Linked DNA regions of Caenorhabditis elegans. The protein of the gene in region 2 interacts with the protein of the main gene of each other region in a pairwise test. Each region holds a gene or a part of one and is shown on either strand. Other genes may lie near its edges.

Evidence for each region. Proteins that work in one complex are often made in the same cells at the same time.
Region 1: the proteins of let-756 (region 2) and hsp-90 interact in binary tests that used the Caenorhabditis elegans proteins (3 or more experiments, as listed by UniProt).
Region 3: the proteins of let-756 (region 2) and par-5 interact in binary tests that used the Caenorhabditis elegans proteins (3 or more experiments, as listed by UniProt).

The regions. Positions count from the first base shown.
Region 1 is NC_003283.11:14,682,243-14,690,517, forward strand, and holds hsp-90 (Heat shock protein 90), read left to right. Parts: upstream 1-3,917; 5' UTR 3,918-3,921; coding exon 3,922-4,071; intron 4,072-4,118; coding exon 4,119-4,823; intron 4,824-4,871; coding exon 4,872-5,857; intron 5,858-5,915; coding exon 5,916-6,183; 3' UTR 6,184-6,297; downstream 6,298-8,275. Other genes in the region: C47E8.3 (G-protein coupled receptors family 1 profile domain-containing protein), read left to right, coding at 280-575, 631-922, 974-1,083, 1,134-1,395; C47E8.4 (Protein FAM50 homolog), read right to left, coding at 1,582-1,917, 2,112-2,274, 2,372-2,442, 2,492-2,563, 2,798-2,897, 2,951-3,080, 3,127-3,235; C47E8.11 (uncharacterized protein), read left to right, coding at 6,395-6,469, 6,517-6,678; gasr-8 (uncharacterized protein), read left to right, coding at 6,912-6,992, 7,520-8,275. UniProt on the Caenorhabditis elegans protein: Molecular chaperone that promotes the maturation, structural maintenance and proper regulation of specific target proteins involved for instance in cell cycle control and signal transduction. Undergoes a functional cycle that is linked to its ATPase activity.
Region 2 is NC_003281.10:6,402,661-6,411,774, forward strand, and holds let-756 (Protein let-756), read left to right. Parts: upstream 1-4,468; 5' UTR 4,469-4,476; coding exon 4,477-4,566; intron 4,567-4,834; coding exon 4,835-4,906; intron 4,907-4,955; coding exon 4,956-5,002; intron 5,003-5,208; coding exon 5,209-5,605; intron 5,606-5,908; coding exon 5,909-5,974; intron 5,975-6,018; coding exon 6,019-6,125; intron 6,126-6,176; coding exon 6,177-6,305; intron 6,306-6,562; coding exon 6,563-6,932; 3' UTR 6,933-7,373; downstream 7,374-9,114. Other genes in the region: C05D11.5 (Putative hydroxypyruvate isomerase), read right to left, coding at 7,441-7,619, 7,711-7,780, 7,866-8,094, 8,226-8,468, 8,762-8,829. UniProt on the Caenorhabditis elegans protein: Required for larval development. Probably by binding receptor egl-15, negatively regulates membrane protrusion from body wall muscles during larval development.
Region 3 is NC_003282.8:11,818,528-11,825,846, reverse strand, and holds par-5 (14-3-3-like protein 1), read left to right. Parts: upstream 1-3,929; 5' UTR 3,930-3,949; coding exon 3,950-4,039; intron 4,040-4,087; coding exon 4,088-4,258; intron 4,259-4,323; coding exon 4,324-4,515; intron 4,516-4,562; coding exon 4,563-4,856; intron 4,857-4,958; 3' UTR 4,959-5,022; intron 5,023-5,066; 3' UTR 5,067-5,341; downstream 5,342-7,319. Other genes in the region: M117.3 (14-3-3 domain-containing protein), read right to left, coding at 1,909-2,199, 2,245-2,331; M117.1 (Major facilitator superfamily (MFS) profile domain-containing protein), read right to left, coding at 6,411-6,574, 6,627-6,733, 6,784-7,058, 7,280-7,319. UniProt on the Caenorhabditis elegans protein: Required to modulate lifespan, in concert with hcf-1, acting redundantly with 14-3-3-like protein ftt-2.

The DNA of each region.
Region 1 (8,275 bases), on a different chromosome or scaffold from region 2:
CATTACATCTCAAAATTAAAGCGAATTTGAAAAACGGTGCATATACCTTCAAATATCACTTGAATAGAAACATTTTGCAAAAAAAAAACTTTGCTCCTCATTTTTTGATTTCATTATCCAACATCAGAAGTTGACCAATCACCGACCCACTTTATACCACTTAACCCATTTCTAAAAGCCACTCTTTCGCACTTCCCCTGGGGGTTTCCGAGACCCCCAGAGGAAGTTTATATTTTTTGAAATTCAGAACAAAATAATTTCCAAAGTTATTTATTCCAGGTGTACATGGACTATTACTTGTATCTACCATTATGGCACATTTTTCTGTCCTATTTCCGAATTGTGATGGCCGAGTCGAATATGGCCATGTTTGCATCGATGCTCATGATCGTGTTGGCAACAACTGAACGGTTCTTGAAAACTTTTGATGGAAAGGCGATATCTGTATGTCGAAAGTTTCTGGAAAGGAATCGGTATGGTGTCAGTGCATTTTGCATTTTCTTGGCGTGTGCCTACAAATATGTCATATATTACGAGTTGGATGTAGATCATCATCCACATTGCACTGATTTTATGTAAGTTTTCTTTTCTCTTTTTTGTTAGATTTTTTAAATAACCAAATATTTTTAGGGAGTACGAGATCATCGCAGGACCATATGCAATGGATCCGAACTATCGGTTCTATTTTATGTTCTTATTGAGAAACACTTTGGATAGGATCCTTCCGTTCCTTGTACTTCTAACTATGAACATTATGATCGTGAAAGCAGTGAAAGAAGATGAGAGGCAGAAATTGCAAAAAGAATCGGTTGTCAGCAATGGGAAGTCGGTGAATGTGAAATCGCATCGAAGAAATGTGAAGGATGCGACAAGGGCATTAATCAGTCTCGTCTCCATTTATCTTTTGTCGCAATCTCTTCAGGTAAAAACTAAAAATATATTTTTTGAGAGAGAAACTTATATCGTATTTCAGGTTTTTCTAACAGTATGGGAGACCATCAATCGTTCGAGCCTCGAGGATGGATTTCCAACTATGTACTCTTATCTAAATGATATAGTTTCAATCTTTACCCTTTTGGCAAGGTATGGGAAATTCAAATTCAGTGCAAAATCTAAAACCAGCAAGTTTTCAGTTGTCTTCGCTTCCCGATATATTTCTGCTGCAATCGGCTAATCCACACGGCTTCCGTTGATACTCTCCATGGAATGCGAATCACTTGTTTAATGGGCAATTCGAAAAAGCCACAGGAATACTCTCCGATCCATGGTATTCCGAATTCTTTGGAGTGTGGTGGTGCTGGTGACGGTGGATCGAAGATGTCGTTAAGTTCTCCAGAAAGTATCTCGAAGCCATCGGCAGTTTATGATGAAAAACTTCAAGAGTGGCGGTTGTAAACGGGTTCATGAATTGTCTCATTTGATTACCTATTTGTTTTTAATTTGCTCCAATTTTTCTTATTTTTAAAAAGTGTTTCATATAAATTTTAGATTTGATATAAATTTTTTGTTTCGAAATTCAACACAAAAACAAACAGAAAACTTTACAGGAACAAATTCAAAGTAGAACATGAGATTAATAATTTACAAGTCACTGAGATCATCAAAATTACGACCGTATTTCTTGCTGGGCACGAATGGTTCCCATCGTGACGCCGGATAAATGTGCTTATTCTTTTCGTACCAACTACGAAGTACTATTTTCGCTGGATGAGATTCTCCATAGTCAAGTGCAGCATCTTGGCGTATACGAACATCGGAAGCCGAATCGAACACGAACAGCGGACCAGTCTTTCCCATTGCTTTTGTGACTATAAAGTCTTGGAACGTGTAGAAATGTGGTATGATGAGATCCTCTTTGACGAACATCAGATTCTCGGCTGTGCACGATTTAAGCTCCGTGAATTCCTTTTTCAGAGCCTGAAAATGAATATTTATAAATATTTTTTGATTTGTTGAAAAAAAAAAACAATTAAAAAATATTTTAGAGGGGAAGTAAAGTTTGTGGGTTTTTGCCCGAAACGGTCGAATTTCATAAATTGCCTTCTCAAAAAATTTCCAAAAAAATAAATACATAGAACACTTTTTTTTTATTTTCTGAAGTTCATTATTACCTCAATGGCTCTTCCTAGACATTGCGAAATCGTGTTTCCTTTCTTGATTTTCATATTTTTCCGATGTGAAGATCCATCCCAATAGGCGTAGGCAACTGTAATTTCCTCGTTTTTCTCGGCATCTTGCTTCACACGCCACTCGGCTGCCAATGATTCTTTCTTTCTGAAACCAGACTTATTATTTTTTATTTATTTGTTCACCGGGATGATCTACACCCGCCAAAATTTGAAATGTCGTTGTTTTTTCTTCTAGAACTCACTTTCTCAAGAACTCCTCTCGTTCTTTATCAGGCAGGAAGCTTGTGTCGACAGTTGGGTCCATTCCAACGCGCTGCAAACATTTTTCGCTTTAATTTTTTCTTTTTAATTATTATTCTTACCTTTTTCGGGATAATTGGTGCAGCATCTTCTTCGTCCTCTTCGTCATCAAATGCAAACGATAAAAATCGCTTCTGAAATTAGCAATATTAAAACAGTTTTTCTCGAATGTTCTACAAAAATGTTTTATATCTGCGTTTCCTCACACTCTCACCTGCCCTCAATTTTTCTTTCTCGAAAGTTCTCAAATTTTTAGAAATCTGGTATAAAAGACTCTTTCGACGAGAAATCTCTAGTCAATTGAACTACAACTGCTACCCGAGTCTAGAGCCTACAACCAAATTTCTACAGCAATCCTTCACATTTACCTGGGTATGTTTTGCAACGTGTTCTTCTTTTTCTCGAGCTTCTTGTGAATCTTTAGATTGAGTAGAAGATGATTGGTCTCCCCGGGCCACTTGTAGATCTCTATAAGGTACACATTTTTATTGTGAGGCTCTCCAAAATGTAGAAAATCGAACCTGTTTGAAATTTCGTTTTTCTGAATATTTTTCATATCATCCAATGATACCAAGCCATAGGTTTTAGACTTCACGACTTCTTCGACTGTTTCATAGTTTGCCATGAATTTATTCGTAATTCCGACCCTGCCTGCAAAATTTGTAGTTTTAATAATTAAAAAGGGGTTTCACCATACATTTTTCTTTGTCTTCTTCAAGCTTTCGCAATTGTTGTTCGATATCTTCCTTTTCACGCTCACGTTTCTTTGCCAAATGAATCAAGCGGCCTTCGTCGGCGCGGGACATTTTATTAACTGCAAAAATAAAATAAAAACCAATGAAAGCAATATTTTTCAACGAGTTCAATATTGAGAGTGACATATAGTTTATTTCGGGATTTTATTTAATATAGAATAATAATTTTAGATTTTTTTTTGGTGCAAAAATACCAAAAAAACGTCTTTTCGACGAAGTAATCTGAAAAAAATGAAGAAAAAACAATTCAAACTAAAAACAAGAAAATGTTTGTGGCCTAGTTACCTATTCTGCAAAACTTCGGCCAGGTGCTGAAAACGCGCTCTATTGACAATTTTCGTCGAGAATTTTCCGCCGAAAAGGGCAATTTGAAAACCAACCAATCAAATTGAAAGGCCACGCCCTCCTTCGAGAACATTTCGCATCTTGTTCAAAATTTAGACCTTCAATTACGCCTCAGAGCTCTGATATTCCCAGTTCTTTCGGTTTTCGGGTGAAGATTTTTGGTTTTCCTCTCACTAATATGGCTTTTATGTTAATCACGGATCATTGTTTTTGATTTTTAAAGGTTTTTGAACAATAGTTTTAGGCCTAAAATTAGTTCATTTCTAGATAAGGTTATAATGTGTTTTTAGTTTCGAAATCATTCGCCATGCGTGCTCTTTCATTCATTGAATCGTTATAAAGTTCTATTCAGTTTTTGTTGCTCGATTGTTAATTGATATTTTTCCAGAACCATGTCCGAGAACGCCGAAACCTTCGCATTCCAGGCTGAGATTGCTCAGTTGATGAGCTTGATCATCAACACTTTCTACAGTAACAAGGAAATCTACTTGCGTGAATTGATCTCAAACGCCTCCGATGCTCTTGACAAGATTCGCTACCAGGTTTGTTTTTTCGCTTCTGAGTCAATTTTTTAAAATATCGGTTTTAGGCACTCACCGAGCCATCCGAGCTTGACACTGGAAAGGAATTGTTCATCAAAATTACTCCAAACAAGGAGGAAAAGACCCTTACCATTATGGATACCGGAATCGGAATGACCAAGGCCGATCTTGTCAACAACCTTGGAACCATTGCCAAGTCTGGAACCAAGGCCTTCATGGAGGCTCTTCAAGCTGGAGCTGATATTTCCATGATTGGTCAGTTCGGAGTCGGATTCTACTCTGCTTTCCTTGTCGCCGATAAGGTTGTCGTCACATCCAAGAACAACGATGATGACAGCTATCAATGGGAGTCTTCCGCAGGAGGTTCTTTCGTCGTTCGTCCATTCAATGACCCAGAGGTCACCCGTGGAACGAAGATTGTCATGCACATCAAGGAGGATCAGATTGACTTCCTCGAGGAGCGCAAGATCAAGGAGATCGTTAAGAAGCATTCTCAGTTCATCGGATACCCAATCAAGCTTGTGGTTGAGAAGGAGCGTGAGAAGGAGGTTGAAGATGAGGAGGCTGTCGAGGCTAAGGATGAGGAGAAGAAGGAGGGAGAGGTCGAGAACGTCGCTGACGACGCTGACAAGAAGAAGACCAAGAAAATCAAGGAGAAGTACTTCGAAGACGAAGAGCTTAACAAGACCAAGCCAATCTGGACCAGAAACCCAGACGATATCTCCAACGAAGAATATGCTGAGTTCTACAAGGTATTTTTAGTTTTAATTATTTTATGGCAATAATTCCATTAATTTCAGAGCTTGTCCAATGACTGGGAAGATCATCTTGCCGTCAAGCATTTCTCCGTTGAGGGACAACTTGAATTCCGTGCTCTTCTCTTCGTCCCACAAAGAGCTCCATTTGATCTCTTCGAGAACAAGAAGAGCAAGAACTCCATCAAGCTCTACGTTCGTCGTGTCTTCATCATGGAGAACTGCGAAGAGCTCATGCCAGAATACCTTAACTTCATCAAGGGAGTCGTCGATTCTGAGGATCTTCCACTTAACATCTCTCGTGAAATGCTCCAGCAATCCAAGATCTTGAAGGTCATCCGTAAGAATCTTGTCAAGAAGTGCATGGAGCTTATCGACGAGGTTGCCGAGGACAAAGACAACTTCAAGAAGTTCTACGAGCAATTCGGAAAGAATCTCAAGCTCGGAATCCACGAGGACTCTACTAACCGCAAGAAGCTTTCCGATTTCCTTCGCTACTCTACCTCCGCTGGAGATGAGCCAACTTCCCTCAAGGAATACGTTTCCCGCATGAAGGAGAACCAAACTCAAATCTACTACATCACCGGAGAGTCCAAGGATGTTGTTGCTGCTTCAGCTTTCGTCGAGCGTGTTAAGAGCCGCGGATTCGAAGTCCTCTACATGTGCGACCCAATTGATGAGTACTGCGTCCAACAACTCAAGGAGTATGATGGAAAGAAGCTTGTCTCCGTCACCAAGGAAGGACTCGAGCTCCCAGAAACCGAGGAGGAGAAGAAGAAGTTCGAAGAGGACAAGGTTGCCTACGAAAACCTTTGCAAGGTCATCAAGGACATTTTGGAGAAGAAGGTTGAGAAGGTTGGAGTTTCTAACCGTCTTGTCTCTTCCCCATGCTGCATTGTCACTTCCGAGTACGGATGGTCCGCTAACATGGAGCGCATCATGAAAGCTCAAGCTCTTCGTGATTCCTCTACTATGGGATACATGGCCGCCAAGAAGCATCTCGAAATCAACCCAGACCACGCTATCATGAAGTAAGTTACCCAAAAACTATTTTAAAATGAACATTCACAAACGTTTTTGCTATTTCAGGACACTTCGTGATCGTGTCGAGGTCGATAAGAATGACAAGACCGTTAAGGATTTGGTTGTTCTTCTTTTCGAGACTGCTCTTCTCGCTTCCGGATTCTCCCTTGAGGAGCCACAATCTCACGCTTCCCGCATCTACAGAATGATCAAGCTTGGTCTCGATATCGGAGATGACGAAATTGAAGATTCTGCTGTTCCATCATCGTGCACCGCTGAGGCCAAGATTGAGGGAGCTGAGGAGGATGCTTCCCGCATGGAGGAGGTCGACTAAACATCCTATTTAATTTATCATTTGTTACGAGAAGATCTCCCCAAAAGCCCCTCCACAGTTTTATTCATTGTTTTCCTGTCTATCGAACCCAAATAAAGTTCCGTAATTAATTTCATCAATGTTTTTTTTTGCAAACGTGAACTTTTGAAGAAGCACATTTGAACAGTTTAGATACTCGAGGGAAATTAAACAGTTTTAGTTTATACGAAACATGATTGCAATCTTATTCGAGTTGGCATGTTTCCTGATCTTGGCCAGTGCTGTTTGCTGCATCATTCCAGAACCGGTTTATACATGAGTTGGAGATGAGTTTAATATCTTTTCATGTTTCAGGAAAAGCCATTCAATCCACCTCCACGTCCAAATTTCAATTATAACCTCTGGGATCCTGTCAATGAAGATTTCGAAGGACGCAAGTTGGATGTTCGTTGGTGGAATCCGGAAGAAGAAGATGAAGATGAAATTGTTCCAATCCCACCAAACCTTGCTGTCTAATCTCTCATTTTATTTCTAAAAATAAAAATTTTTCGATAATCGTTTTATGAACATATGCTTATTCTCTTGAAAAATCCGCTTTCCGCGCACGCAAATCTGTTGATGCGTGCTCAAATTGACATCCGTTACCATGCCAACTCTTTCCAACTGCCCTTGAGAAATTGAAAGCAGCTTTACTGAGCTCTTTCTGTGTTCCGGGCTCTCTTTGCAGTCTGTGCTCACTCCTATTAATTATGAAAACGGCAGGGACTTCGCGTGATACGTCTTCTAATATTCAAAACAAGCGAGTTATGAAGAAACCCAAAGCTATCAGGGTATGTATTAAAAGGGATATTCGAAATAAATGTTTTTTTTTCGTTTTTAGGCTTGCAATTTGTTTTCTCTACAGTACTTCAATTTAAAGGCGCATGTAGTTTTTTCTGCTGCTTAATTTTCAAAATACCGCTGAAAACACTTGAAAAATAACCGGAATATACGCAGTTTTTGTGGGTATACACTTTTTCCGTCACCTCTTAACGGAAAACTGTCGGCAACCGGTCTTCCATCTTTCCGCGCGCGTTTTCTCTCATTCTTCAGTTTTGTGTGTGTCAGCGGCATCGACCGAAAACATGCCGTCGATAGCTCAGTTGGTAGAGCGGAGGACTGTAGAGTTTGCAGATATCCTTAGGTCACTGGTTCGAATCCGGTTCGACGGAGTTCTTTTTGTTTCAGTTTTCATCGTAATTTTTTTGGTCGACCAACAGTTTTCTACGGATTGTGTTTCTTGTAATTTTAGCTGTTAAAGCAAAAGCAAAAATCTATTAAAATTACTATATTATCAAAAAATTTGTAACAATTTTAGTCTACATTATCGACCAATGCAGCTTCCCGTCGAAAACCTGCAATAGGATCTGCTGCCAAAAAGAAAGTCCAAGTTGTTGAGCCAATCCAGAATCAGAATGCAGATTCCCGAAAGATAGCTGAAGTTGAGAAAAAATTAAACGCAATTCAAATTACAAAAGACCGCCTGAAAGATCGAGCTGATAAGTTGAGTGGAGAATTGACAAAAACTAGAGTGGAACTGAATGCAGCTCAACAGGAAAGAGGAAGAATTCAACAATTCTGGAGAATAGCTGAAAATGGATTAGGAGAAGAAAGAGAGAGAACAAGAGACGTAGAGAAAAGTATGTTTGATATGAAGACACATCAAGCAACTCATATCCAGAAATTACAACAAAGAATTCGAAGTTTGGTATTTCATGCAAAAATGCATAGAAATGCTGGAACACAGTCAGAAGCAATTGCTCCAAGTGGTGGTCTAGAAAGTGTTGAATGTCAGACAATGGAAGAATTGACAAAAGAGAAAGCAGCGAATATCTTAAGACAATCTGATGATCTTCTAGTAACATTCATTGCGGAGCTTGAAAAAGAGAAGTTAGAAGCTCAAAGTGATTTGAAATATGCAATTGTGCATTTGGAGCAACGAATGAAAGAGGAACAGGAGACACAAATGCAAGCGATGAAAGAAGAAAGAGAAATTGAAATTGAGGAAATTGGATTGAAACATATGGAACAGATAAGGACAATTGAATCTGGAAATAGTGAGCAAACTGCCATG
Region 2 (9,114 bases):
CTATCCCTCTCTCTCCAGCCGTGTCAAAATACATAAGATCCCCTCCCTCTCGGTCTTGCTTTCAAAGTTCACACACTGGTTTTTTTCACACTTTGCCACGGAGCCTCTGGATCCTCTAGTTATCTTTTAGAGAGTTCAAAATCAGAAAAAGAAAGTGCGGAGAAGTTAGACACTATATGTGTCTATATGTGTCTCCTCTATTTACCCATTCCTTCTCGGTTTGAAACTACAAGAAAATTTCAATAATTTGTCCAATAAAACACACGTCATTTCCTTCCGAAACTGTGCGAAAGGAAAAAAGCTAAAAATGTCCGTTTTTCTAGAAAAGAATGCTTCTGACTCATTTTCGCGTTTCGCCCCCTCACAGTCCATATACCCGTCAAGGTGCTGTCAATTTTGTCAATTTCCAGAAAGAAACTTGTACTCGGAATTTTCTGAAACATATTCCTTTTTTTCTTGAAATATCACATGCTTTAAACTATCTTAGCAGGAATTTCGGAGAGGTATAGTTGAATTTTTGTTTACGAAAAACAACATAACCTACTTTTATTTTAGCAAATTCCTTTATTACTTGTAATTACAAATATATTTTCTGGATTACCATTTCATTTAAATTGTTCTCTAGTGCTTCAAAAATTCTTTCCATGTCTGCCAGTCTACCTCTCACTTACGTTCAGACATGTGTTCTGAAATCCGGTAATTGAGTTTACACAGTGCAAATTTTCTTTTGTACTTTGGCAGTTGGCACGCCTGAAGGCACGACGAAGGCGTAGGCAGTTGTAGGCAGGCAGTCATATTGTACCCACTTTTATCCAATTCGCCAACCCATTCAGCCCCATCTATCGAACCAATTCTCTTCTATCTGTCCTTCCGCTCTTTCTTCGACTCACTATCAAAAAAGGTGACAAATTCTTCCCCGGAGAGTCGCCCTCTAGAAACTCATCCCCAAGAAAATGTCGGAGCACCATTTGCAGAACATGGGCTCAGAGGACAACTCCTCAACTTTCTGCTCTTCCCAAAATGACCCACCTAAACACTTTTTGTAAACAATTTTTTGAAATGCTCGGAGAAAGAAAGAAGTTTGAATATTTTGTGAAATTTATTTCAGCGTTTAACCCTTTAAACCCCAATTGTTCTCTCAAAATCAACAGAATTAACAATGTAACTACCCCAATGACTTATTCACTTTCCTTCTCTTCTTATAATTCTGACGTCTTCTGAACATTTTTGGTCGCCTCCCTTTTCCCAGTGCCCGGGGCTCCGGGAGCCATCTCAACTTTACACCAAGTCCTCCCTCACCCCTTTCTCCCCTCATCCATATCTTTTTTCTTGACAACTTTTTACAACTTGTTCGTTTGTGATCCCGACTGATCAGAGGTGTATTTTTTGTGTACGGTGTTTTCCTGGTAAACAAGGATCCTTGTCAGTTCATGTCAATTATATTTATCCGGTAGGTTACTTCTGACAAACTATACTTTTTCTGCGTGTGCCTGATTGTCCTTGGGTGTTCTGGATACTAAAGTCACCAAAGGTCTTTAGGGAGTTATTAGAAAGATTGAAAGCACTGATGAAGGGTCCAACGGGGTGACAAAGAACACACCAAAAAAGAAAAGTAGATTTATTTCTAGTTATGTCGGACGGACGTCACGGTTCTTGCAAGAAGACGTCACTAAGCGGATTCTCGATAAAAACTACATGAAAAAGTGTTTCAACGATCTTTTGACAATTTATTCAAACTAGGTTTCTTCATAATTTTTTGGATTTCGGTCTTGGCTTGTTTTGCTCAGTCATAATACTGAAAAAAACTGAAAACAAATTCTGAGATGAAGCAGAAAATGTAACTCAAAAACGCGACAAAACAAAATTTTTCAAAAAAGTTTGAGTCTTTTAATTTTCGCAAATTTTACCCCAAACTAGGCCCCGCCCATATCTGACATATTTTACGGAAGCTTTTGTTCGAGGCTTCATCAAATATTGTTCAACTAAAAAGATTGAAAAATAATTGAAAAAAATTTTTTGTTGTTAAAATGATTTGATAAACCCAAAGACTGCCGAGATAGAAGGTGTCAAATAAGAACAAAAGTGTTGTGAAAGGACAAGTATGATAGGTAAAAATTGAATGCCACTTTTCTGCTTTTCTATTGTTTTCCAAATTTGAAAGTACCATAGATGGTAAAACAAATCTATTTATTTTCTGAACCGTTTTAAGCTTCTAGTCCGGTTATGACTTTAAAAAAATTGTTGTTCTTATTAAGGATCAAGAAACTGTGTGAACTTTCTGTAAAGTTTTGACACTTTTGAAGTCCAGTTGATCAAACTCAATACCACAGTTGACATAACCTCAAACACAAATCGTCTAGACATACCTTTCACACGTAATTCAAAATGACCCCAATGTTTGTCCTCTCTTCGTGTTCATTTCATCCTCCCTCACACCATCACATTCAGTTAGCTCGTTATCGGGAATGTCAGAATGTGTCCGATGAATCCGTGTCAATTCTCAATCATCATCTACCAACTTGATCCCCTCAAAAAAATTTTGCAAGAGAGAGCAATTGTGTTGTTGAGTGAAACACCCTCTCATTCGGTAACCCAATCCCTGAGAGCAGTTTCTTCGTGTTTCACTTGAAGATCAGTCGTTTTGTGATAATGATGATGATGATAAAACATAGAGGACGGGAGCTCTTTTGAATAAGAAGAAGAAGCCAACTGTCTCGTTGATAATCTGTCGTCTCTTCATTCACCATTATCATCTTCTCAGACGGACTAAGACGCGCGGGATTCGGACTACGAGAGTGAGAGAGAAAGAGTCTTTGTATCCTCATTGATTATCAATTATTATCTCACACGTTTCATCCTCGATTTCTTTCTTTTTCCTACATCAACTATTACTCATATTTTTCTTGATCTTTCTTCTGTCATATGATTTTTCGGGTACTATAGGATTTTAGTTTTCAAGTTTTCACACTCAGACATTTAAATATATTTCTAGATTCTCATAAATGGGTCTTGCCACGACTGTTCCGTATACCTATTCATGAAATACCGTATTCGGTTTATGCTTTTTTTCAATTAAGCATTTTTTAACATGTTTTCATTTTTCTAACAGTAAGACAATATAAATTTACTTCATTCCAGTATTCCAAAAAAACACTTATTTTTTTCCAAACTTACTTTTGTCAAACTAATCATCTACTTTTCACATATCCATCTCCACATACGTGAAAATGTGAATAATTCTTAACTTACCATGGAATTCGTAATTTCATGTTTGCTATAAATTTGAACCATATTATTATGTGTTATTTCTGCTCATTTTTTATCGAACGTCATTCTTAGTTCCTCAGAATAGTATCGCTTTCTACTATTTTTCCAAATGCATCATACTTTATTAGCTCAAATTTCATTCATTTTCGGAAGAGTATTGTTTGCGGGGGATGTTTTTTATTTACAAATATGACACTATTCTGGGAATCTCTACAAATTGGCATTTTTCCAAAATGGTATTTTTCTGTTATAGCCTAGAGATCCTACACATTTTGATGCTCTTTTCATTTATTTTGATCTATTTTTCCTCCTTTTTTGAAGTTTTTTTTTGTGTTTTTATTTTGAACAAATGTTATGAACAACTGTGTAAATATGATCTCAAAACTTTGTCGTCACTTGTGAAAATTTGTGATGATTCAATCGGTTCAAATCACTTTGCCAAAACTACATATGTTTTCTCGGAAAAAAAAACCGTTGTTGAAATTTTCCACAGATACACAAAAACTCCTAAATGCAGAGCCTACACCTGCCTCTTACCTACTCTAAAATCTGTTGAGTGAACCATAAGACATTTAAAGTTGAGCAACAACTTTTTTGGGAAAAATAAACATTTTGGAAATTTGCAAGCAAAATATGTGGCTTTTCACAAAAACTAGATTACAAAAAATACTTTCATATTTCTCAAAATTCTTAATCACTTTCTTATAAAAAATTTGTAATGTTATAAATTTTTGAACTTGTTGTATGATTATCGGATTTTAAATTAGTAGTATACTACTTTTTTCCAAATATAAAGATAGAATATTAATAATCTTCTTTCTTTTTAAAGTTTTTATTCAAAGATACTTCTAATGCCCCCGAACAAACTCTAAACTCTATTTTGCATCTTATTGAACTTGGTCATTGTGATCTGTTTCTATTTATCTGTTTTCTCAATAGACTCTCTTTCATTGTTGCATTCCTTCATTCCAATCTTACCGTTCTATTTGTTTTTTTTTCATCACAATTTTCCATTTTGCAAGAAAGCCTGAGCCTTCTCCCAACTGAGCCTGAGTGCAAACTCGTGCCAGAAAAGGAGTGGAGGCGGAGGTGAAGATTGTTTGCTCCCGAATCTCTGTACTTGCCCTTTTTCTCATTTATTGACTCTTACTTCCTCGTTCTTCAATATTTCCAAATCATTACAATTTCTTCAAATGTTCAGATGAATATATGGCCGTTCCTGCCGCCTCATCGATAGTTTCATACGGAGGAGCAGCCACTTCTAACTTTTTGACAACACCAGTTACACCTTTTCTTGCGGTAAGTTTACTTCTTTTAACCATAAATGTTTAATTTTTTAATTTTTTTTTGAATTAAGAACGTTTGGAAGTTCAAGCTATATGTACTCAAAATGTGAAAAAACCAAAAATTGAAATATTCATACAGTAACTTAAGAATCTGACACCTCTATGTTTTTTGGAAAAAATTATAGCACACTAGAAAATCTAGGATAATGTTTTTTTCTCCCACAAATTGATTACTTTTTCAAAGTTAAGATATGAACTGAAACTTAGAAATAAATTTTCAGGGATTCTATAATTCAAATTTTGTAACCGATCGTATAAATTCATGTGCTCCGTATCGAGTGGACCGGATCAGAGTGAGTTTGAAATTAGAGATACAGTTGTAAACTTGAAAATGGTTTCCAGAAACAACTACAAGATGAAGAAGAAAATGGGTATCCACCTGCTGATGAGTGAGTTTTTAAGCTTTTCAAACTTTTTGTAACAAGGGATCTCGGATTTTTTACTCAATTCTTGAAATTTGTTTTCTTTCACAGGGCAACGACAATTTATCAAAAACAACAAAAAACATTTTTTTAATCGAAGTGATCATGATCAAAAATTAAAACTTGCCAATGATTTCAAAGGCATTGCGTTTTTGACTAATTTCTACTTCCAGCCGTCGCCGCGGAGCCCTGTTTTGTCGTTCGGGAACCTGGTTGGAGATGCTTCCTATCGAAAATCCTGACGATGGATCGACACGTGTCAAAGTTCATGGAACAAAAGAGGAGAGTTCCAAATTCAGTATAGTGGAGTTTGTGTCAGTGGCAATGAGTCTTGTATCGATTCGAGGAGTTGAAACAAAGAATTTCATTTGTATGGATCCATCGGGGAAATTATATGCAACACCATCATCTAATTATTCAACAGAATGCGTTTTTCTCGAAGAAATGATGGAAAATTATTACAATTTATATGCGTCTTGTGCTTATGGTGACAGGTTTAATCCCTGGTATATTGAATTACGACGGAGTGGAAAACCAAGGAGAGGTCCTAATTCAAAAAAACGTCGGAAAGTAAGTGAAATATATACTCATTCTGCTTTGACAGCTCGTATCGGAGATATTATTACATTTTAGAAAAATAATTTTTAAAACCCGATTAAAGTATATTTTCGAGCATATGTTCGCAAGAAAATGTGGTTTTTACCAAAAATTAGAAGCTCGAGGTCTGGAACGAGCGAATATTTCCTGATATGTACATTAACTTTTCTCTCGTTTCAATAAGTTCCTACCGTACTCGCGGCTACTGTAGCTAGATACATAAAGAAATCCGTGTGCACTTTTTTTTGATTGAAATACATTATCCGTATATTTCAGGCGAGCCATTTTCTAGTTGTTCATCACGATCTTGACCGGTTACGAAGTCCCGTTCCAAATGGAAATGTGAGTTTTTTCGAGACATACAGTTTCAACTTTTTGATTTTCAGGACGTAACCGATCTGGTAGTTGCTTCACTCTTTCACCAACCTCCCAGTCATCCATTATTCCGACAGCAGACCGTTACAAAACCACCAAATCCACATCGTATTTCAAAGTAAGCATTTATATCAAAAGTATCAGATTAGAGCTAATGAAATTTTTGTAGTTTACGAGCAAAAGTGGAAATGACGAACCAAGCTGAGAAGCAAAGATTATTAGAAGAAAAGAAAAGACGAAGAGAAAAGAAGAAACGAAGGAGAGAAGATCGATTAAGAAAAGAGGAACAAATTAGAGAGTTAGTTATTATTCTGAGAAAAAGAAAGCGCAGAGAACTGAGAATTATTATGAAAGTATTGAAAAATAGCAGAACATTTTTTTGGTTTTTAAGATTTGAAGCCAGACTGAAATGGCTTTTTTTGGGTATCGTTCCGTTTCAGTTTTTGAGCGGCAAAAATAAATTCAATGCCAGGTAGCACAAAACTATTTGAAACATTTATGATGATTCCACGTGTGACTTTCCTAGATCTATACCAATTATCAAACGTATTTCAGAGCCCGTCGCCAAGAGCTCAAAAGTCTTCGTGAAGAAGAACTCCGACGTCGTTATCAACAACAACAGCAGCAACAAGCATCTACTCAAACTCGGTACAATCGTCCTCAAAATCCAGCGAATCCTTATCCAACGTATCGACCTCTTCCAACAAGATCAACAGTACAATCTCCACGACCTGCATACAATCCATATTGGCAGTCTCCAGTGACACAGGCTCCTCATCACAATTCCCATCACCATCATCATCACCATCCACGTGTCAGCTCTTCATCAGACCCTCAACAACGTCATCAATCACAACAACACTATCTAGCTCAGACAGTGTCAAATCCAAACCGTCAGAATGTTAACTATCAACGATACCCGTGAACGATCTCTCTTCTTATGATACCCCGCACAGCATCTATCATCATGATCTTCTCATTTTCTTTCCATTTCTTCCTGCCTTCTTTTGCTTAATTAATTTTTTATCAGGGCTGATTTTGAGAAGAAGCGCAGTACATTGTCGTGAAGTTCGTAAGGCACGGTGCTTTAGAAATGAAACCCTTTCTTGTGAATATTGAAACACACAACGAATTTTCTAATTTTCTATTTCTACCTTCATAATATTTCTGTATTAGACTCTTAAAATCACACCATGCTCTAAATACGACAATTTGCGTACACTACTGTTTTTCTTCCCAAGCTCGCCCCTTTTAAGTATGTTTTCCAAGTCTCTCTAAAACACCCCCAACTCGCCACGTGTCTCATTCCATACTCACGGGTTTTGTATTTTGAACATACTGTAACTTACTATTATGAATAATATATATTTGAAAAATATGTATTGTTATTTTAAAAAAATTATCAATGGAGCGAATTTACAAAGACAGGTAATTCAAAAACTTAGAGACATGTTCTCAATCCAATTGAATGAAGGCTTTGCATCCAAATATTCAGCACCAATAACCCATGATGGATTGATCGAACGGATTTCATCGAAAATAAAATGATAATCGATTTCTCCGCGTGTATCACATGCACCTCTATTTGGAACTTGAGCCACTTGAATATAGCCTGAAAAACTCGAAAAAAATCGACGAATGAAAAAGTAATTTCAGAAAAATAGGGCGTAAGCTTATTTTCATCATCATCCTTTTCAACTAACCAATATAATCTTTGAGCTTTCTCATAATTGCTCCAATTTGTCCGTTGATTTGTTGAGCGTGGAATGTGTCCTGAAAAATTACAGTTACTTTTCGAATTCTTATTTTCAAAAAAAATTGTGCATAAAATTCGATGTTTTATGTTCTATTGACTTACATATTGAATTTTCAAATTATTCGATTGATCCATTTGGATCACATCCATTGCATCTTCATAATTATTTAAGTGATATCCAGGAATAGTGTACTTATTGATTGGTTCAATGAGGCATATCAACTTGTGCTCCTTGAACTTTTCGGCGGCAAAACGCACATTTTCAGAATAGGTCTGATGAGCATTTTCCAAGTCATCATCCGATTTCGGAATTCCAGCCATTACGTGAACTCTGAAATTGTTTAGATTACTGTAGTTTGCACCGTTTGAAGTATTAATAAGATTTGAAAGACACTACGTACTCAATACATCACATCCAATGCACATTGTTCCTAATTTGAAATCCCTCTTTCCTCAACTGACCTACAACATCCAAGAGCCTTCGCATACTCAATCGCAGTATCCAAACTCTTTCTAAACTCCTTTTTCGCCGATTTCAAAGAAGCCAATCCTCTAAATCCGTCATCCCAATTCCCGGGCGGTGCATTGATCAAAGTATGTTTAAGATGATACTCATCAGCTGCTTCACGAAGTTTTTCGGCTGGCTCCGTGTAAGGAATGCTCACTTCGACAAGCTTGAAACCCGCGGAGGCGGCTGCTCCGTATCTGAAAAAAATTGTGTGCAAAATTTAGAAGAAGCATGTAAAGTCTTTTTTTTGACAATTTTTGCCGCGAAATTACGGTAGCCGATCTCAAAGCCAATTTTAAATGTGCGGATTTCAAGAGTACTGTAGTAATGAAAATTCGAATTCCAACACAGAGAATTTTTAGTTGCAATTGGAATTTTTAATGCAAGAAATATCGGGAAGTGACAACTACAGTAATCCTCAAAGGCGCAACATCGCTAAATTTTCAAATATCCGATAGCAAAACTAAAAAATGAAATTCCGGAGACAAACCTTTGCAGCAATGGCAAATTAGTGAACAACATGTTCAGATTGGCGGCAACTCGATTCGTCCCACTCATGTCTTTTTGATCGAAATGAACTTATTTTCACACGTAAATAAACTATTTATATTTGTGTATTTCTGTATATGATAACAAGACTCCAAAATAACAGAGATGGCGTGGTTTATCGTAAATCGACAATTGAGAGAGATAATAAGAAGAAGAAGAGACGCATAGAGGGTGAGAGCAAAGTTCAGTTTTGTGTAAATTGTCCTCGAGAACAATGAAACAAGATTCAATTAATTGAAAAAGTATAAGAACCCGTCTAGAATATATTTGAAAAGTATTAAGAGTTTGGGGAAT
Region 3 (7,319 bases), on a different chromosome or scaffold from region 2:
AAAAAGTTTGAAAAAATTTCGACATCGGAAATTGTTTTCAAAACAAAAAAAAAACAAAAATTTTTAAGTATCATCAAAAATTTCTTACTATTAGATATTGCAGAAAAAAGTTGTATTTCCTGCTTGAATAAATTTCTAGCCAAATTCAATACTTTCGGTAAGGCAGCCCAACATTCTTTGGAGCTCTGAACAAAGAAACGTCCTATCATATTATTTACATATGCATCTTTTTTGAAAAAGTGAGTTAATGAGCAAAGTAAGTCAATGAGAGAGAATTAAATAAGTATTTGCCAACAAAAAAGCTTTTGAGGCAACATATGGTCTAAAAACCGTAAGTACAGTTTGTGCCATTTTCGTTTTCGTTTTCGTTTTCGTGTTTTAAAACGAAAATTTTCGTTTTCGTTTTCGAAAATGGAATTTCGAAAAAGTCCCAGCCCTGGTGGGAAAATGGGAAGATAAATATGAAGAAATGATTTGCCCCAAAAGATTTGGAAAATGATACTGTTCTAAAATTATATTTTTTCGAAATTTTTTTATTCGCAAAATTAAATTTTTGAATTGCCACTAGGGCTCACAGTGGTGAAGGTACACTCAAAACTTAGCAAATGACACTGTTTTTTTAGATGTCTTTTTTTAGATTTTCTAATGAAAACCATTTAGTGAAAAAGTTAGTTATCTATTCAGTTGAGGAATTAATAACTCAAAGTGATTCTGGGATGTATATACAATACTGCTGCATTTCTCACAACTTTATCTCGACCACCAATTTTTTTTGATGAAAAACCATCAACTAAAAAGTTGTACTTCAGATTAAAATAATCAACTTTGTAGTTGACAACTTTGCCATAAAATTTTTTCCACGGAGATGTAAGCATCCAAAGTGAACTCGATTTTGGAACATGTTCAACTATACCTCAGGTTTTTGACTGAAATTGTGTTCTGAACATCCAAAGTTTTTTTCAGAAAATTTAAATTTCCCGCCAAAATGTTTTTTATTCAGAAAATTTAAGTTTCCCGCCAAAAAAGTATTCTTCAGAAAAGTTGAATTTCCCGCCAAAATGTTTTTTAGAAAATTTGAATTTCCCGCTAAAATGACTTTTTCAGAAAATTTAAACTTCCCGCCAAAATTATTCTCAGGAAATTTGAATTTTTCGCCAGAAGGTCTCACCACGATGTGTCTACAGTATAAAATCTACAGTAATCCTACAGTACTCCTACAGTACCTCTACAGTACCTCTACAGTACTACTACAGCACCCCGACCATGTCACTCCATTAACCCTAAACCAATATCCCTTTACCAACCGTGGACCGCACCTCCGGCGCGGCCCCCGACTTCTGGAGCTGAAAAGTAATTTTTCTGAAACTACCGTAATCATACAGTACTCCTACCGTATCACTATTGTAATACTACAGTACTCCGATTATATCTGTACACTAACCCCAACTCACAATCCCTCCAGAAGCTAAAACTTCGCAGACTATAAAGACTACATACAAACTATGAACAAACGGAATAAGCGCTTTGTATATATAGTAAATGATAATCCAAAACTTTGCACACTACAAAGCCTGCATACACTACAAACTCCGGAGTCCGGACAGACTAACTGTATTTTTTTAAAATATAAGCAATAATGATGCTGAGCATCAAAGGGATTGAGCCATCGTTAGGGATTGAGCGTTCAAGTGAAGGAGCACGCTAGTAAATGAGGGTTTGCCCCGAACCGACGCCACCCACCGAAGAAGACGACCTGGACTTCAAGTCCTCTCCACCCTCATTACCACCATCACTCGCTCCTACTTCAAAAAATGAATGCGTTTCAGCATATTCCCTTGTTTTCTCAAGAAAAAATCATAAGAAACATGTTTTTTCACTGCGAAAAAAAATTGAATATCCAGAAAAATTTCAATTATCAGCCTCTTCTCCTTCTTTTCCGTCGACACGCTGCTCGTGAGTACTCTTCAATAGATCGTAAAGTGTACGAGCACGTTTCAAGTTCGAGATATCGTACGAATCCAGTGAGCTCTTCATCTTCTCCAATTCGCGATGAGCACTATCAAGAGCACTCTGTGCAATTTCGTTGGCTTCTTTGGGAAGATTCAGGACATCGAAGTTTAAGGCGCTTGCATTGAGGGCAAGTCCAAGGCGAATTGGGTGAGTTGGCTGCATCTTGTCCTTAGCGATACCAAGAGCCTCCTGAAAGTCATTTCATTTACATCAAGAATTTAGTTATTCAAATACCTGATAAGCGATTCGCGACTTGTGTGCATGCTCTTCTCTGTTGATATCGTCGTATTGGACCAGATACCTAAAATGGTCGGCGACCATGCCACCGAAGAGAGCCTTAGTTTCATCATTTAGCGCATAGTCTCAAGCCAAACAGGCGGGGCAGTTCAAAAATAGTTTGATATATAGTTTGATATAGTTTGATGAATAGTGGCGTGGAGTACGGTTTCGCGGCAATTCAAATACTACTATTCTTGAGACCAGACGAATCGGACGATTAACGGCGGCGAGGGATTCGGATCGGGGGAACCCAATCTGTGGGACGGGCCACGCCCACGATCAAATTTTGCAACCTCCGCACGGTTCTATGGGCGTGGCCAATCCCCCGATGTCAACAAATTTTAAAAAAAACCTTCCCCGATTTTATAAATATTTCAGCTTGAAATCGCGATGTTCATTTGCGAACTCGAGGCATTTTCGAAACGTTAAATGTTCCCGCGCAATAATGCTCCGCTGAACAGTGCACGCTTTTTGTGTAGATTCATTTAAATATTCATTTTCCGTCAGATTTCATGTAGAAACCCAAAGATTCGCTCATTTCGCTGCTCGATCTTTTCTTTTTCTTCATTCAACCGTATATTATATGCATTTTTCGTTTAAACGTTTTTCAAAAATTTTTAAAAATTGCTTACAATCTTCTTTGTAAAAAGAATATATTTTGCAACCAATTTTTTCGATTCTCCATGGAAAACTTATCAATTTAAACTGCATTCACTGTTACACTGATAATGCTTTGAACGACGGCGGTCGGAGAACTTCCAACCGATTACTGTTCTCCAATTTCATGTTTCTAGAAAAAAAGAAATTTCTGTCGTTTCATAACATGTTTTAACACGCAGAGCCTTTTTTTTTCGAATGAACCGCCATTTTCTTTAAAGGCGCAAGCTATTCCCTCTGCGCGATATTTCGCCGCGAAAAAAGAAGCCCCGCGAAAAAACGTATTCGAACCGCGGAATTTCCGCGAATTTGTTGCTGGTTTCTTCTAGAATTCAACGATTCAATGCTCATTTCATCACAATTTTTTTTTGTAAAATTATCCTTCTCGCTTTTATGCTCCTCTTGCCCTCAATTTTCTGTCTAAAAGCTATCATTTCCTCTGATTTCTTCCTCGATTTTCAAATGTTGGCCCAAAATAGTGATTTTTTCTTTAATTATATCCTAATCCCCACCAACACGATTTAGCAATTCTCGAAAATTATTTTTTTGCGTTGTTCAGGTAAAAGTCCTGACGAAACCTCCTGAGTTTTGTGTAACGTGCTCACCGAAAGATTAGTGTGCTTGCTGCGCCCGTTGTCACCACTGCCATTCATCCTTCTATTCCCGTGTTTTCTTATCAAATGCCCAAAAAATCTGAAATTTTTTGTGTAGACAATGCTATATATGAGGAGCGAATGTGTGCGCCAGAGAAAAAGACGGACAGACACAAATTGAGTGAGTGTGCGTTGCCCACTTTAGTTGTTGTCATGCGACGGCGGCGGCACGCGCTCTCTCATCGGCCGGCACTGCTGTCCATCGATTTTTCTTCTTTCAAACGTCGTGCGGGCTGTTTCGAATGTTCTAGGGCTCTCCGTTTCGATTATTACTCTCGCCTATGTTCTTCTCTTTTCGTTCTCAATATTTCATTATAAATTTTGTTTCAGAAGACTTGCTCACTGAAAAAATGTCCGATACCGTGGAAGAGCTCGTTCAACGCGCCAAGCTTGCCGAACAAGCCGAGCGATACGATGATATGGCTGCCGCCATGAAGAAAGTAAGATAAAACATCATTTACGGAGGTTTCAAATTTACTATTTTTCAGGTGACCGAGCAGGGACAGGAGCTTTCCAACGAAGAGCGTAACCTTCTCTCTGTTGCCTACAAAAACGTCGTCGGAGCTCGCCGTTCATCGTGGAGAGTTATCTCTTCCATTGAGCAAAAGACCGAGGGATCCGAGAAGAAGCAACAACTCGCCAAGGAATACCGCGTCAAGGTAACTACACCAAGCAAGATTTTATTAATTTCAAGAATTTTAGTAACTTATTTACATTATTTCAGGTTGAGCAAGAACTCAACGACATCTGCCAAGATGTGCTCAAGCTCCTCGACGAGTTCCTCATTGTCAAGGCTGGAGCTGCTGAGTCGAAGGTCTTCTATCTCAAGATGAAAGGAGATTACTACAGATACCTCGCCGAGGTCGCTTCAGAGGATCGCGCTGCCGTTGTTGAGAAGTCCCAGAAGGCTTACCAGGTATTTGAAAATAACTAAATTCTTGATGTAAATGGCATGACTTTCAGGAGGCTCTTGATATCGCTAAGGACAAGATGCAGCCAACCCACCCAATTCGCCTTGGACTTGCCCTCAACTTCTCTGTCTTCTACTACGAGATCTTGAACACTCCAGAGCACGCTTGCCAACTCGCGAAACAGGCTTTCGATGATGCTATTGCTGAGCTCGACACGTTGAACGAGGATTCGTACAAGGACTCGACCTTGATCATGCAACTTCTACGTGACAATCTCACTCTCTGGACATCTGACGTTGGAGCTGAAGATCAAGAGCAGGAGGGAAACCAGGAAGCTGGAAACTAAGTACGATTTCAAAATGTTTTATTGCCATTATATAAAGCTGACCTTTTTCCTCTTTTCCTTTCACATCAAATCTTGCTTCGAAAAAATAGTTTCGGTTTTCAGAGAGCTGAACTCCGTTCTCTTTCCTCGCATCTCTTCAACTTTCAGTTATCCTCCAACATTTCCGGTACGTTAGCCGAGAGAGTTGCCTAATCACCGTTTTTGTTTTAGACTTAACGTATTCACCAATACTCCATACAACACTGCGCAATAGCATCATGAAAGAAAATTCGGTCTTCAAGTGCTCTAGATCTCCAAGCCATAATTCTCTTCATGCTCTATTTCGCTGTAATTCACTCCGTCACTATTGTCATTCCTAAAATGGCGTATTGTTCTATGATTATTATGTGCTGTAAAGTATAATGAACCCCCATCTTCCATTTTTCTCTTATTATCCCCGATCTTTATTTTTAGATCTTTTTGAACATAAATGTTTGGTGAACTTTTCCGGTTGTCCGAATTTCATCACAACTTTCCAGGAGTTTTTCGAGTAATGGAATGGAATTTATTTTCAGATTTCGATGAAGGAGCATAAATAGGATAAAACATTTGCATTAACCTCTTAGAAGGTCTCAACACGAAAAATTAAATGAAATGTGAAAAAGTGTGCGCCTTTAAGCTGCCGAAAATTTTTTGATAGTTTCTTCCACGATTCGTTAAAAATTAAGTGTTTTATGGTAACATTTGAGTGTTCTTTTGAAAATAAATATATTCTTTGTCGAAAAACTATGAAACATCGATAAAAATTCCGCAGCAATAGAAGTTTAAAATTACAGTACTCTTTAAAGACTCACACCTTTTTGCGTTCAACAAATATTAGACGTGTCGAGACTAAGTACCGTACTTTTGGCGCAAAAAGCTCAAAATTTCGCTCCTGGGCAATATAATTTTCGGAAAAAAACTTAATTCTGGAGACTTCATGTGTTTTCACAGATCATGACGAGACCGATTGAGAAACATTTGGAAATACATTTTTCTTCAATATATCTTCAAAGTGGCCGATTGTATGTGATCATACGGAATAACGATGGATGTGTTTTGTGCTTTTCGGCAGATTTCGAGCTTTTGAGCCAACAATTTTCAGCGTTGTGGATGAAAAAACATGTCACGTTGTTTAATCAATTTAAAATCTTTAAAATGTAATGACTATTTTTATGGACTGCGCAGTTGCCCCATGTTGAAAAAAGATGTCAATTGCAATTACATTTTATTTTCCGTATAAGTTAAATTCAATAACCCAAAGTTCAAAAAAGTACTATTTATGAGTATTATCACGTGGTGTCAGAATGTCCCATGTCGGTTTGAACTTCGAAATATGCGGGAGTTGAGACGTAGACTGACGTCACATTTTTCTGAGAAAAAGTTATCCGCATTTTTGTAGATCATACCGTTATGGGGCAACCTGACACCACGTGTCTTATTCGAGATCCATATTTGAGTGAACACCCGGATAAGCTGGTAATCGTCTTTTCTTTTCAATTATGTGAACACTGATATGAATAATTTATTAAATAATTAATTGATTGAAGTTTCGCAGGGAAGCTGAGGCTTGCTGAGCTCTAATTCAGCGTTCAACACAAAGTCGGCTGGTTCTGAACGAGCTAGGAGAACATAGACTGTGTTGGCTACTGTAAGTGTTAAAGCATGGATCAGGAAGTAGCTGGTCCATGAGAGTTCAGCTGAAAGTGTTGAAAAAGGTTTAGTTTAGAAAGAGAATGAATTGATACTTACAATCTTCACTTCCCGGAAGCACAAGAAGAGAAAAAAGAACAGGTTCGAGCAGTGTTGCTAACGATTTGAACAATTGAATATACCCGATGACAAAGTAAGAGAATTGTCTGAAAATGTTCATTCTTGAAATTTCAAATTAATTTTTAAATCGCCTTACCTTGATATCAAAGCGGCGCCCTTATAGAATCCTCCACAATTGAACCCGAATGAAGCCTGATAGAAAGTGATGCAGATGACGTGTAGATATGGATGCTCGCGTGGCAGCAAGACTACGAGCATGAGAAAAAACGCGGGTACTTGCAATGAGATCGTGTTGAATAACCGCAACTTTGACTTTTCCGGCAGTGTACGAATACGATCGGACGCGATACCGGCGAATACTCGAACACCGATGAATAGATAACCTTTCATGGAATTCAGCCATGCATTAGCCTGGAAATTCACAAAATTGAGGGCAAATATCGGTGCAATATCGGTCTTTATTGCAATTTCGTGAAATTTTGACATGGCACTTTAAAGGCACACGCTGTTTTTCTCAGTGGGTCTCGCCACGCTCTCAACCATTGTAGTCGCTACAGGTACCAAATGTCATAGAATTGTTCATTGGATGTGGAAAATTAAGTTTGCCCCGACGTGCCTGAACACAAATTTACCTGAATATCCATTCCGAGGTATTGATAGTATTGTGCACCA